Coturnix japonica: one gene and its partners. The protein of the gene in region 1 purifies or fractionates together with the protein of each later gene. This does not show direct contact. Links are inferred from orthologs where the notes say so. Each region holds a gene or a part of one and is shown on either strand. Other genes may lie near its edges.

The links.
Region 2: the proteins of SIRT6 (region 1) and G3BP1 purify together in Homo sapiens (affinity purification with mass spectrometry; 3 studies listed by BioGRID and IntAct, with this or other methods). This does not show direct contact. The link is inferred for Coturnix japonica from reciprocal best matches to the Homo sapiens genes SIRT6 and G3BP1.
Region 3: the proteins of SIRT6 (region 1) and USP48 purify together in Homo sapiens (affinity purification with mass spectrometry; 3 studies listed by BioGRID, with this or other methods). This does not show direct contact. The link is inferred for Coturnix japonica from reciprocal best matches to the Homo sapiens genes SIRT6 and USP48.

What each region holds. Positions count from the first base shown.
Region 1 is NC_029543.1:1,710,095-1,714,532, reverse strand, and holds the start of SIRT6 (NAD-dependent protein deacetylase sirtuin-6), read right to left. Parts: upstream 2,820-4,438; 5' UTR 2,738-2,819; coding exon 2,672-2,737; intron 2,004-2,671; coding exon 1,876-2,003; intron 1,505-1,875; coding exon 1,322-1,504; intron 1,166-1,321; coding exon 1,106-1,165; intron 542-1,105; coding exon 446-541; intron 209-445; coding exon 128-208; intron 1-127. UniProt on the Homo sapiens protein: NAD-dependent protein deacetylase, deacylase and mono-ADP-ribosyltransferase that plays an essential role in DNA damage repair, telomere maintenance, metabolic homeostasis, inflammation, tumorigenesis and aging.
Region 2 is NC_029528.1:5,172,790-5,176,434, reverse strand, and holds part of G3BP1 (ras GTPase-activating protein-binding protein 1), read right to left. Parts: intron 3,089-3,645; 5' UTR 3,070-3,088; coding exon 2,975-3,069; intron 2,380-2,974; coding exon 2,298-2,379; intron 1,111-2,297; coding exon 937-1,110; intron 166-936; coding exon 75-165; intron 1-74. UniProt on the Homo sapiens protein: Protein involved in various processes, such as stress granule formation and innate immunity. Plays an essential role in stress granule formation.
Region 3 is NC_029536.1:5,729,779-5,733,423, reverse strand, and holds part of USP48 (ubiquitin carboxyl-terminal hydrolase 48), read right to left. Parts: intron 2,871-3,645; coding exon 2,756-2,870; intron 2,632-2,755; coding exon 2,501-2,631; intron 1,194-2,500; coding exon 1,122-1,193; intron 1-1,121.

The DNA of each region.
Region 1 (4,438 bases):
TAAGAAAAATAAAACCCAAGGGCTGCTTGCTGTGGTACTGGCAGAATGCAAAGGGCATAGACACCCTCCTGGGTCATTGCAAGCTGCAGCAATCAGCAGTCATGATATTCAATTCTAAATATGGTACCTGCAGGCTTCATCTGCTAGTGTGAGGTCACGGTCAGGCAGGGAATCTTCCCAGTCCAGAATAGTGTCTCTTAACTTCCCTCTATAAGAGACACAAGGACCACTGTTACCCTGCCAGGCAGGAATGGTCAGCAGAGATGGCTAGGAGACAAGTAACAGCTCTATAACCCAGACCCCCTGTCGCCCTGCAACACAAAATCTGAACATCAAAATCACTCACTCCTACCTCCCAGGTACTCTGTGTCCCCTCTTCATTTCACAGCACCCTGGGAAGCCCCATCCAGCACCCCTACTCCCATAGCTGCCCCAGCAGACGTACCTGCAGGCCCGTAGCCCTCGTGCTTTGGTGACGCTGCACAGCCTGCCCGTTGGCTTCAGCCCCATGCTGCCCACAACAGCATCCCGCACGTACTGCCTGCACACACAAGAGATGGTGTTATTTACAGCCACACGTATAGGGTGACTCACAGCAGCCACACATAGAGAGGTGACACAGCTGTGAAACATCCCCACAATACAGCATGTTCCACATCACAGACACCTGGGAGTGAAGGAAGCAGGTGATGGCTCAGAGCCACATGCAATGAGCTGGGCACCCAAATCCTTCATCAATTTCAAACCACAGCTATTGCTTACAATAATTTCCCTTTTAGGGAGCTTTGAACATCAGCTCCAAGGCCAAGAGAGGCTGTTACCATCCAGGATGCAAAGCCCAGCCTGCAGCAACCTTCTGTTACCTCTCTAAGCAGGCAGCCTCACTTGCCACAATGAGCAGAGGGTTTCCCAGGCAACAGAGGTTTCTCAAAATGTTTATTTCCCACAATATGACAGGGTTTGTGATTCAGATGGGACAGATCTGACCATGATTCCATGCACTCTGCACTAGGGACCTCTCCTGACAGGCAGCCCCAGGTCTGTGCAGTCCCTCCACTGTTCCTTAGGACAACAACAAAGCCCCCACCTGCTGCTGCCCACGTACTTGCCACATTTCGTGCACTCCTCCACAAACATGTTCCCGTGGAGCTCAGCCAACTTGTCCCTGTGAGAGAAATGACAGAAATGAATGGAGAACACCTTGTGCATTTAACACAAGAAACATTGTTCCAGGGTGGTTTAATAAGGTAGGGAGAACAGCCATGCTTTGGCATCTGGGAGAGACTAAAGGAACCTGGAGGCAGGGTGGGAGAGGCAGTACCGTGGGAATCCTGAGCGCACATGAAGGCCATCCACGTTCTGGCTGACCAGGAATTTCAGGATGCCGACTCTCTGCAGCCCCAGAAGTGCCATGTGAGTCTTGGAGGGCCTGGCGTTCTCAAAGGTGGTGTCAAATTTGGGGGAAAGCCCCTTCTCTTCCATAGTCCAGACACCATTAGGCCCCCTGCAGCAATGGGACAGGAGAAGGAATAAGTGAGATCTCAGGCTCTGCTACGCTGCTTGTAAATGCATCCCAAGCCCTATCAGTGCAAGCAAGGCACTGCTAAACAAGGACCACACATTCCTGGTTATTTTAGTTCAAAATGCATGTAGGGCTTCTGTGGGTACAGTTTAAAATCAAAACAGGAAAAGGTAGATTCAGCTGGATATAGGACAAGACAAGAGCAAAGAGGACATGAAAGGATGGCACAGGTCTCCCTATAGGCAGGATGGCTGGCAGGAAGCCCAGCCTAGATGGAAGATGGACTCAGATGAGGTGCTGTTGTGTCCCCCCCCCCCCACACACACACAGTGCCTGCTGCCCTCTGCCTTTACCTGAAGTCAGGGATCCCTGAAGCGGTGCTGATACCAGCCCCTGTGTGGAACACCACATTGGAAGAGCTCCTTATCAAGTCTGCCAGCTCACACACCTTCCTCTCCAGCTCTTCAGGTGGATCAAAAATCTGAGCAGAAGAAACAAATCCCAACGTGAATGGGGATATAGAAATGGGTCCTACATGCCTCCTGGTAGGCACAAAGAGTCAGCAAACCACTCTTCTATCACATCCACAATGGAAACCCCACGCAGGAAAGGAAATTTCACATTGCTTAATGCCAAATGTACATAATGAGGGAATAAGGCTTAAAATGAGGGAATAAGGCTTAAAAAGAGCAGGATGGGGGACAGCGATGGATGGGGGTCATGGGCCCATTCTGATTTTTGGCACAGCACAAATTCATTTCTATAGGACGGTTCTTTGCTCCCTAGAATGGGACAGAACTCCGACCCTTTTACAGCCCCATATCCTCACCCCAAAGCTTTTCTTAAGCTTATTGAGCATGAATGTGGGGGTTGGGGGGGACATAGGGATGGGGTCAGCCCAGTAGTGCCCACCCCAAGGTAAAGGGCCGGCCCTAAAGAATAAAGGGGACACGAAGACGGGGTGACAACGGACACAGAGCAATAGGAAGAAGGGAACGGAGGCCGGGACCGGGGAACCCAAAGACCCCATGGTGCTTGGGGTCCCCATGGGGCACAAGGCCTATGGAGGCCTTGGGGTCCCCATGGAGGCCCTATGGAGGCCTCGCAGGCCTCAGGCTATGCAAGGAGATCCCTCCACTCCGCTCTCACCTCGGGGAGGCCGCATTTGCCTTTATCCGAGTAGGGCGAGAGCCCGGCCGCGTAATTCACCGCCATGACCCGTCCCGGCTACCGGAGAGCTCATTGTTGTCGGTCCGCGAGCAAGGAGGCCGCGGCATCAGTGCGCATGCGCAAAGGCCTGCCTAGAGTAGGCCGCAGCCTCAAGACGCATGCGCAAAGCACTGCCTAGAGTAGGCCGCAGCCTCAAGACGCATGCGCAAAAGTCACGCCTAGAGAAGTCCTCGCCGCCATCTTTGTGTTTGGCAATAGGGAGCTCTGCCCTCACCCTGCTAATACATCCATTATAAAACATAGAACTTGGAGTGGAAAAAGACAAGGAGCTGCCTATGCTAAGAGGTGCCATGCAATGAGTGCATACAAAGGCAGAGGGCATCAGCTCTGCTGGCCTCAGCCATGTCTTACAATACCTTGTCTTACAATGTCTTGTCTTAAAATGCCTTGTCTTACAATGCCTGCAGACCTAGATCCATAATAGGGCTGTGATAGAATGGCTTAGGTTGGACAGGACCTTAAAGATAATCTAGTTCTACTCCCATACACTGGTCAGGGTTACCAGCTGCTGGGTTATGATCCCCAGGATCCCACCCAGCCCTGAGTGCCTTCAATTGGCATCCCCAACTTCTAACCAACCTGTTCCAGCATCTCCCTGCCTTATGAATGAAATATTTCTCCTTAACACATAACCTGAAGCATCGTGATGGTTTCAAACCCTTCTCTCCCTCATCTGAGGCTTCCCCAGCCTTGCTATAGTACCCCCTCCCTTGCAGCTGCCCTGTGTCTGGGTGCAGGGGTTTCAAGGATGTCAGTGCTCCTTGCCCTGCCTGGTGCTGGGCCCTCCCATGTTCCCCCCCCCCGGGCTGTAACTGCAGAGGTAACCCAATGCCAGTGTGTGTGTCCCCCCCCCCGTGTCGTGCTGTGGGCCAGCAGCAGTGAGACAAGGTACAGACAGGGCTGGTGTTGAGCTGGACCCGTAGCAGCAGCAGAAAAGCCTTCAAAGCTGCCCTCTGCAACAGCCACATCCCTACAGCCTGACCCCAGCGGGCAGATGAGGCTTTAAGGCTCAACCCAGGTACCACGGGACTGCTATGAAGAGCCTGAAGGCCAAGTTCAGGAAGGCAGATGTAAGTGCTGTCCCCAAGGACATAGGGATGTGTCCTGGGTTGTCCACAGGGATGTGGGGATCTGCCCTGGGGTGTCAGTGGGTTTCGTGGGGGTATGGGGACACAGAGATCTGCCCTGGGATGTCCCATGGGGACATGGGCACCTGCCCAGTGACCCAGCTTCCACTGGGATCATAGTTGTGAGCAGGGCAGAATAAAGGAAGGGAAAGCAGCACCGAGGAGAGGTGAATGTGTCCCAGATCCTGTACCCATTTCTGTCCTATGGGATGCAGGGATGGCTGCCAGCTTTCCAGCCACAGCAACCAGATTGGGTTCCCACTTTGAAGCCAGCAAGTCAATGCTCCTTAATTATTCAGCACCAGACTGGCACAATGCTGCATATTCCTGCTGTTCTCCAGGCTGGGAAGAAGGTGACAGTGCCGTCCCCACTGCCTATGGCAGCACCAGGGGGATGTGTAGGTGGAGGAGCCTGTGCATTTTGGGGTTCCCTCCTTGCAGGGGGTCACTGGTCCCCTAAGATTCAGGTGGGGGGATCCTGTGTCCCTCTTAGCCCCAGAGCGATGGGAGATCAGTTTCTGTCCCTCAGGGCAGGGTTGAGGTCCTACATCCTTCCTCC
Region 2 (3,645 bases), on another chromosome or scaffold:
AGTCTGGAAACAAAACATGAAACAGACCCAGGAACAAACACCAAAGGAAATACATGGAGTCTGCTGGTGCTCACCTTCAGGAGGTTCAGTGTCAGAGTCACCAAAAACTTCATCTTGGTAGCGGAAGATATCATTGTGGACATAGAATTTGTTTGCAACAGAACCCTAGAAGAAAAAAGGGGGAAAACTAATTACATTGACTGCAATATCAAACTGAAGTAACAAAACAAGAACAGCTGAAGAAAGTCACCCGTCCCCCACAAATATAAAAGATCAATCCAAACTTGCCTCCTTTAAAAAAGTGCACTATGCAGATAAAAGGACACCTTGTGCTAGGAAGTCAAGCATGTGTGAAACAACAGGAAGTTTAATGCTTTTTATTCTTATAGTTGATGAAGTATTAAGCAGAGCATTATGTGATTCAAGGTTTTAATTCTTAGTCCTAGACCAACCTGAAAAAATAAGGTGAATTTGCAATCCTCCCCTTTTTCCATTTTCCTTTTGTCCAAAAATGTGTATTTTGAAAGCCACCTCAATGCCATGTAAGCACTTTACCGAACAAGACAATCTAAATCCTGTCTTCAAGGGGCAGAAAGCAGTTTATTCTTCCCTCTTTTTCCAATACAAGGACATGTAGCCAGGAAGGCAAACTAAGGACAGAACCAACTTAAAGCATACATAAGGAAAAAAAAAAGTTGTAGATATCAAGAAGCCACACATCAGGGTATTTACATCTGTAATTATGATACCCAAGGCTAATTGATGAACATGCAGAAGTAGCACAAACTCCCTAAGAATTTGCAGAGTTCTCCTACAAAAACATGTGGTAAACTACTTTCCCAATGCAACACTGGAGATTCCAACACCAAAACAGGCCTCAAACTTTGACATGATGGTATAAGCACTGCAGTAATGTTATCACTCAGTATAGCATACCTCAGGTGCAAGCACAAATGTTTGCATGAACCTGCGCACGGGCTGCATGTTATTGGAAAGCTCTCCCATCACCTGCACTACAACACCATCATTGAGAGTAGCATGGGCATCCACGTGACGGATCTTTGTGTGGCAGTCCTTGAAGTTTAATGACAGCACCTTCTTGTGGATATCCTATAAAGGACAGAGTACAGGTTATACTGTAAGAGTCATTTCTGCTAAATTAGCAGCTTCCAAGGAAAGAAGGAAAAAAACCAAAAACATATATTTCCCAAACATAAACAAGAAAGTTTAACAGCAAGCACTAAGTTTGCTCTGCAAGCATTTTACACTACGAACTTCAAAAGGAAGCATATTTTGATTAACTATTGCTGTGTAAAATTAGGTAGATGTTTCTTTCCTTTCACAGAATGCCCTAGGTTGGAAGGAACCTGAATCTCCAGCCCCCTTGCCACAAGCAGGGCCACAAACCTCCACATTTAATACTAGACCAGGCTGCCTAGGGTCCTGTCCAACCTGGCTTTGAACACCTCCAGGGACAGGGCACCCACAGCCCCTCTGAGCAGCCGTTCCAGTACTTTACCACACTAGTAACACACTAGTCAGGTGAAGTAAAGAACTTCCCCTGACATGCAACCTAATTATTCTCTCCTTCAACTCAAAACCATTTCCCCTTGTCCTGCTGTTATCTATCCTTTTAAAGAGTTGACCCCCCTCCCATTTACAGGCTTCCTTTAGATGCTGAAAGGTTGCAATGAGGTCACCCTGCTGCCTTCTTTTCTCCAGGCTGAACAAACCCAGCTCCCTCAGCCTGTCCTCATAGGGGAGGCGTTCCAGCCCTTTGATTACCTTTGTGCCCTCCTCTGGACACTCTCTAACAGCTGTCTTTCTTGTACTGGGCGCTGTACACAGCACTCCAGATGGGGCCTAACATGAGCAGAGTAGAGAGGGACAATCACTTCTCTGTCCCTGTTGCCCCCCCCTTCTGATGGAGCCCAGGATACCATTTGCTTTCCAAGCTGCAAGAGCACACCACTGGCTCCTGTTAAGCTTTTCATCCACTAGGAGCTGCAGGCCCCTCTCTGCAGGGCTACTCTCAATTCTCCCTTCCAGTCTGAATAAAGGCCTAGGATCCATCTGACCCAAGTGCAAAACCTTGCACTTTGCTGGGTTGAACCTCATTAGATTCACTCAGGCCCACCTTTCAAATCTGTTGAGGCCCCTCTGAATGGCATCCCTTCCATCCACTATGTTTCTCTAGAGTAAGACACTTGACAAAGTGGATGAATCACAGCTGGATATGTGTCCCAAACACAAAGGAGAAGGTAGTAAATGATAGTAATTTTTCACCAAATACTTACAGACTGCCCATAGACTGCATCAGCAGGTTTTCCATTGGAATCCAAGCCACCATGGACATAGGAAGAGTTTTTCCCATAAAACCTATTGGAAATAAAGTTTCCCTGTGTAAGCTGTAGTGTTCAGATATGTCACGTACCCAAGCAATAACAGCCAAGACTGAAGTCTTCTCCCATATGAACTAGATGGCACAACCCTGTTCTCCTTATCCTGCTATAAAGAAACATTACCCTGGACACAGTGGACACTGGAGGCCGTCCTCAAGCTCTGGCTTCAAGTTTGAGGCAAGAAGCAGTATCTGCCAGCATTAATTAAAGCAGTGCAGGTAAGTTACCCATTTTATAACTAGGGCTTTATAACTGAAGCCAAGTATCAGGGAACTGCATTCTGATGGCAGATAAAATCTGGAACTCAAGTTCACAGTATGCACTAAACTTTCCTCTCAGCCAAACAGATTAGTCTGCCCACTTAAATAGAAAAAAGGTCTAAAAAGTCTTTCTTAACAGTTGAGATTAGAAGGAAGGCTTCAAAAAACTGCTTGAATACCAGCTCAAAGCACAATGAAATACCTTCAAAAAGGAATCTAAGACACAGGAATAAGTTTATTTACTGATTTTTTTAACATACAATTTAAGGAAATCACACAAAAACTGATCACGAAGTGAAGCAAGAGCTTTACCTGTGCAAATAGTCAGGTGCCTGGTTCAGCAGAGTGTAGTACTGCCTCACAAACTCCCGCCCGACCAGCAGGGGACTTGGCTTCTCCATCACCATTTCTTTGGTCAACTGAAAACTAAAGAAAAGCTCTATCAAACAGTAGCATTTTTGTGTTGCTGTTCTCATGCAGACAGCGTAAGCCACATAATCACAGTAGAAAGCACACACCAAAACCTATTAGCAGTTTTACACGGTAAGCAGTTTAACCAATGTATTTTCAGAGTCATCAATCTTTGGGGCTGAAGAGAGGGAGAAGACTGCTGGGGAGCAAACCAGCTGTGGGAGAGGCTGCACAGCAAGGGACATTACCTCATAGGATGACTAAATGTTGGAATGCTATGTGCCCTCAGCAAAATGCAGGTAGCAAACAAGCGTGGTTCTCCAAGAGGATTTGCTAAGTATCTAAGTCATTTACAGTTGATCCAAGTTCTACTTACCTCACTTGACTTCACAATCAGAATTAAAAGTCATATGTTTCAAAGTAAAGCCTGTGCTACTGTATTAAGGGCATTTATAAAAGGTCAGAAGAAGTCCAATCTATTTTGGTCAGCAGTGCAGCACTTGCTGCTGGGGAGCAGAGAGCACTGAAAGAATATCGGATTGTATCAAAGTTACTGCACTACAAACAAACAC
Region 3 (3,645 bases), on another chromosome or scaffold:
GATGCCTGGAGAAGCAAGGACTGCAGTGGGGGCACCAGGCTGCTGCTCTCCGACCATGGCTACAGAGCTGTGAGGTCAGGGTGACTCTGTTTTGTGGGCTGCAGACAAACCCATGCCCTGTGGAAGAGGAGCTGAGTGCTTCCTGCAGCCTCAGCGAACAAAATCTCTGCTGCATAACCTCAGCTGCCCCACGCACCATACAGCCAGCAACCCATAAAGGCATAATTACCCTACCGACACCTCAGCCCATACGCTGCAGAGGAACATCTGAAGCATGCAGAGGTGAAAGGGGGCTGTTCTCCACAAGGAGCCAAAGGTTACCTCCAGCAGGTGAAACAAAACCTGCCAGGCGCCCATGTGCTCCAATATGGCCCAAAGTATCAGATCAATGAGCAGCTGAGCAGCGTAACACTGCCACAACCCCAGCAGCCTGCTTCCACGCTGCTTGCCGGCATTAGGTGCTCCTGTTTGCCAGCAGCAGTTTTTCTGCACTGGGAACAACTCTCTCTGAAAAGCAGGTAGTGCTGCGACAAACTGTTCAAACACCATTACCCTACAGCCTTGATGAGCCCTAATGACAGGAGGTGTGCTGCTAATTGATGGATGCCTGCCAACAGGAGCCTCCAGCAGAACACAGGCAGGTCGGGCAAGCAGTGAGATCCAAGCAGCAGCATAGCTAACCAAGCAAAGCACGGAGCAAAACAGCCAACATCAGGTCACAACCTGATGTAAGTGGACACCAAAGCACAGCAGGTGGGGGAATCAATATGCCTGGGTGCCCCGGATGCAAATAGAAACAGTGGATTTTCTGCAGCTGTGGTGGTAAGTGCTTCTGATACAGGGAGAACAACCTGACGCTGTCTGCTTTCTCTAGCATCTCCCACTGCTCTCAGAGCAATGCTGCAGCCCCACGCAGCACCCACGTTCCTCTTCAGGGGCTGGGCTGTGCTCGTGCCCTTTGCACCACTTGCTTCATGTTTTTTAATGTCAGGAAATGTGAAAATGAGAATAACAACATGTTTCTGTGGTAACTGCTCATGCTGGTCCCAGGCTAAGAGGTGAACATCTGGAACAGTGGGCAACAACAGAAGTGTTCAGCTCCGTCCCCCGCAGAGACTTACCATGTGGGCAAACAATGTCCTCATTAAAATTTAACTCTTCTTCCTCCTCTCTCTTTTCCTCGTTCGCTTCATCTAATTAAAAAAAAAAAAAAAAAAAAGAAAAATTAAGAAGATTGTATCATTTCTCACTGAAGAAAAGGGGAAACCTTTGGGGGGAGGAGTCTGGTTTCTCTTCAGCAGAGCTCTCAGCCCAGGGGAAACCTGGGAAGTGTTATTCTGTTCTTCTCCAACACATGGGCCTGTGCCTGCAGGCCAGGCTGCATGGAGTGCTTTGAAGCGCTTTGAAGCACGTGGAGCACAAGAGCATCTTTTGTGATATGACAAAGGGTGCATTTGTTCCAGCTGCAGCACCACAGGGCTTCACTGCTCAGAGCTAACTCAAACCTCTAGGCGAGGGCTGAGCATCACAGCACAGTGTGCTCTGCTCCACGCTCTGATATCCAGCGTGAGCATTGCTACACTGGAGTTCAGAACTGCTCTGCAGACAGAAGCATTGGCCATTGAGTGAGAGTAACAGAAAAACCAGCAACATCACAGTGCAGCAATGTGACGAAGGAGCAAGCTGGCTCGTGAGCAGTTACAGTGCACTTCTGGGAGGTCACCTTGCTCTCAGAGCAGGCTGCACCCCCACGAAACGGCACGTGGGACGACCCCTCAGCTGCTGACGCAGGGAAGAGAAGTGCCCTTTTCTCAGTGGATGCCACAAGCCCCAGCAGCAGCCTACAGACAGCATCACTGCAGTATCTGATGTTCTCAGAGCCTTCCAGCCCAAGATCGATGCAATTAACTGATCTCCACTTCCATTCAAATGAGCTCCTTGCCCTCAGTTATGAAAGGAAAAAAGGATTCAAAAGGAATCAGGTTTCTAATGGAAAGTAAATAAAATAACAGAAGGCAAATAAAAATCCCCACCAGTTGTTACAAACACAATACACGGATAGAACAGAACCCAACGCATGGTATTTTTTTCTAAGCCATGTTTTGCCAGTGCTGCTCCACCAGCTGTGCTGTTTCATCCGTAGGCCTTTGCAGTAAACATCCCCAAGATAATGTTCATGTTTCTTCCTTCCCCTGCACACTCTCATTCAGATAAAAGGAGATGAAAAGATCACGTGCCTGGGGTGGTAATTGTACACAGCTCTGTAAAACTACTTATTACCTCATCTTCTTCTCTGGGTACGAAGATCACCTGGCAGTTTTGAAGCTTATCAAATAAAAAGCTCCTGAAATTAAGGCTGTGTGATATCAAACCACCCAAAGTGCTTTCCCTCCCCGCTCATAAAAGGGAAGTAAAACAACACACGCCAGAACACCTGACGTGTCTTTTGTTAAGGGGGGAATCAGTCAGAGCTGGCAGAGCTCTACAGCAGCAGAACTACCTTTGTTTGGTGTGTTTCCATTCAGTTTCCCATTGCTGTGCTCTGCGTCTTCGTCTTGCTCATTTAATTGCTCCAGAGCCAACTGACGCCAGCTCCGCAAGGACGCCTTTCCAACCCAAAACCCATCGCTCCTGCAGGGAAACAGCAGCGTTAGAAATGCAAGTCACAGCCCAAGTGGTACAGCTAACTTAGACATTAGTTAGCACAGCTAAAAACACGTTGGCAATGTGTCTGATGGCACCAGGACTCACGTACCCCTTGACTGTTATCTTCAGCAAGCTGGTTACAGTTTTGTAGTCTTCGTTTAGCTGGTTTTTCAGACGCAGGATTCGACATCTTTCTACCACACAATCCTTGCAAAGTGCTTTGACTGGGATGAGGGAGGAAAGAAACACTGTTATGCTTCAAGCATGCTCAGCTCAGCATCTAGCTGGTTTGAGAACTCAGAGATGTGGAAGGTGTGCATCGGTCACTGTGCATCACAACCTGAGATGTGGCATGTAAGCAGGGGAACTGCCACAGTACAACTCCTCAGCTGAGGTGCTGTCTGTTCTGCCAGCTGGCTGGTGCCAGAATGAAGAGAGCTGTGAGGGAGCTCACACTGACACTTGGATGTGGGAGGCAGAAGGCAGGGGGCTGAGGCATGTACCCCAAAGGCTGCGTCACTGCCCTTCTGTGGCACAAAGGTACAGTGCAGACACCTCCAAGGAGTTTCATGGGATGAGAGGGCTCCCTGCCACCCAGTGCAGGGAACTCCAGCCAGCAGCCAGCTAATAGCACAGAAAAGCTCCAAAACTTCTGTGATGCTGTACTGATCCAGAAGCAGGGGCAGCCCTGCATGTGGCCTTGCACCTTTGGACAGGAGCAGGGGGGTCACAATCAAATCCTTCCCTCTCCATCATCCTCAATGAAGAAACTGCAGGTGATTTTCCAGCTGACTGATAACGGCTGCCCTTTTTTTACAAGGCCTGCCTGCATCACAGAATGTTCTGCCGGCTGTATTTCTTCCCTATAAGTGCCTAGCAGGAGCCAAGCTAATTTGGTCTCAGTGGGAGCTACTGAGCTCCTTTATAAAAGGAACCAAGCCTGGAGCTCAGTTCAGAGATGCCCAGGGACAGCAGAGGCCAACCCTGCCCACAGATAAC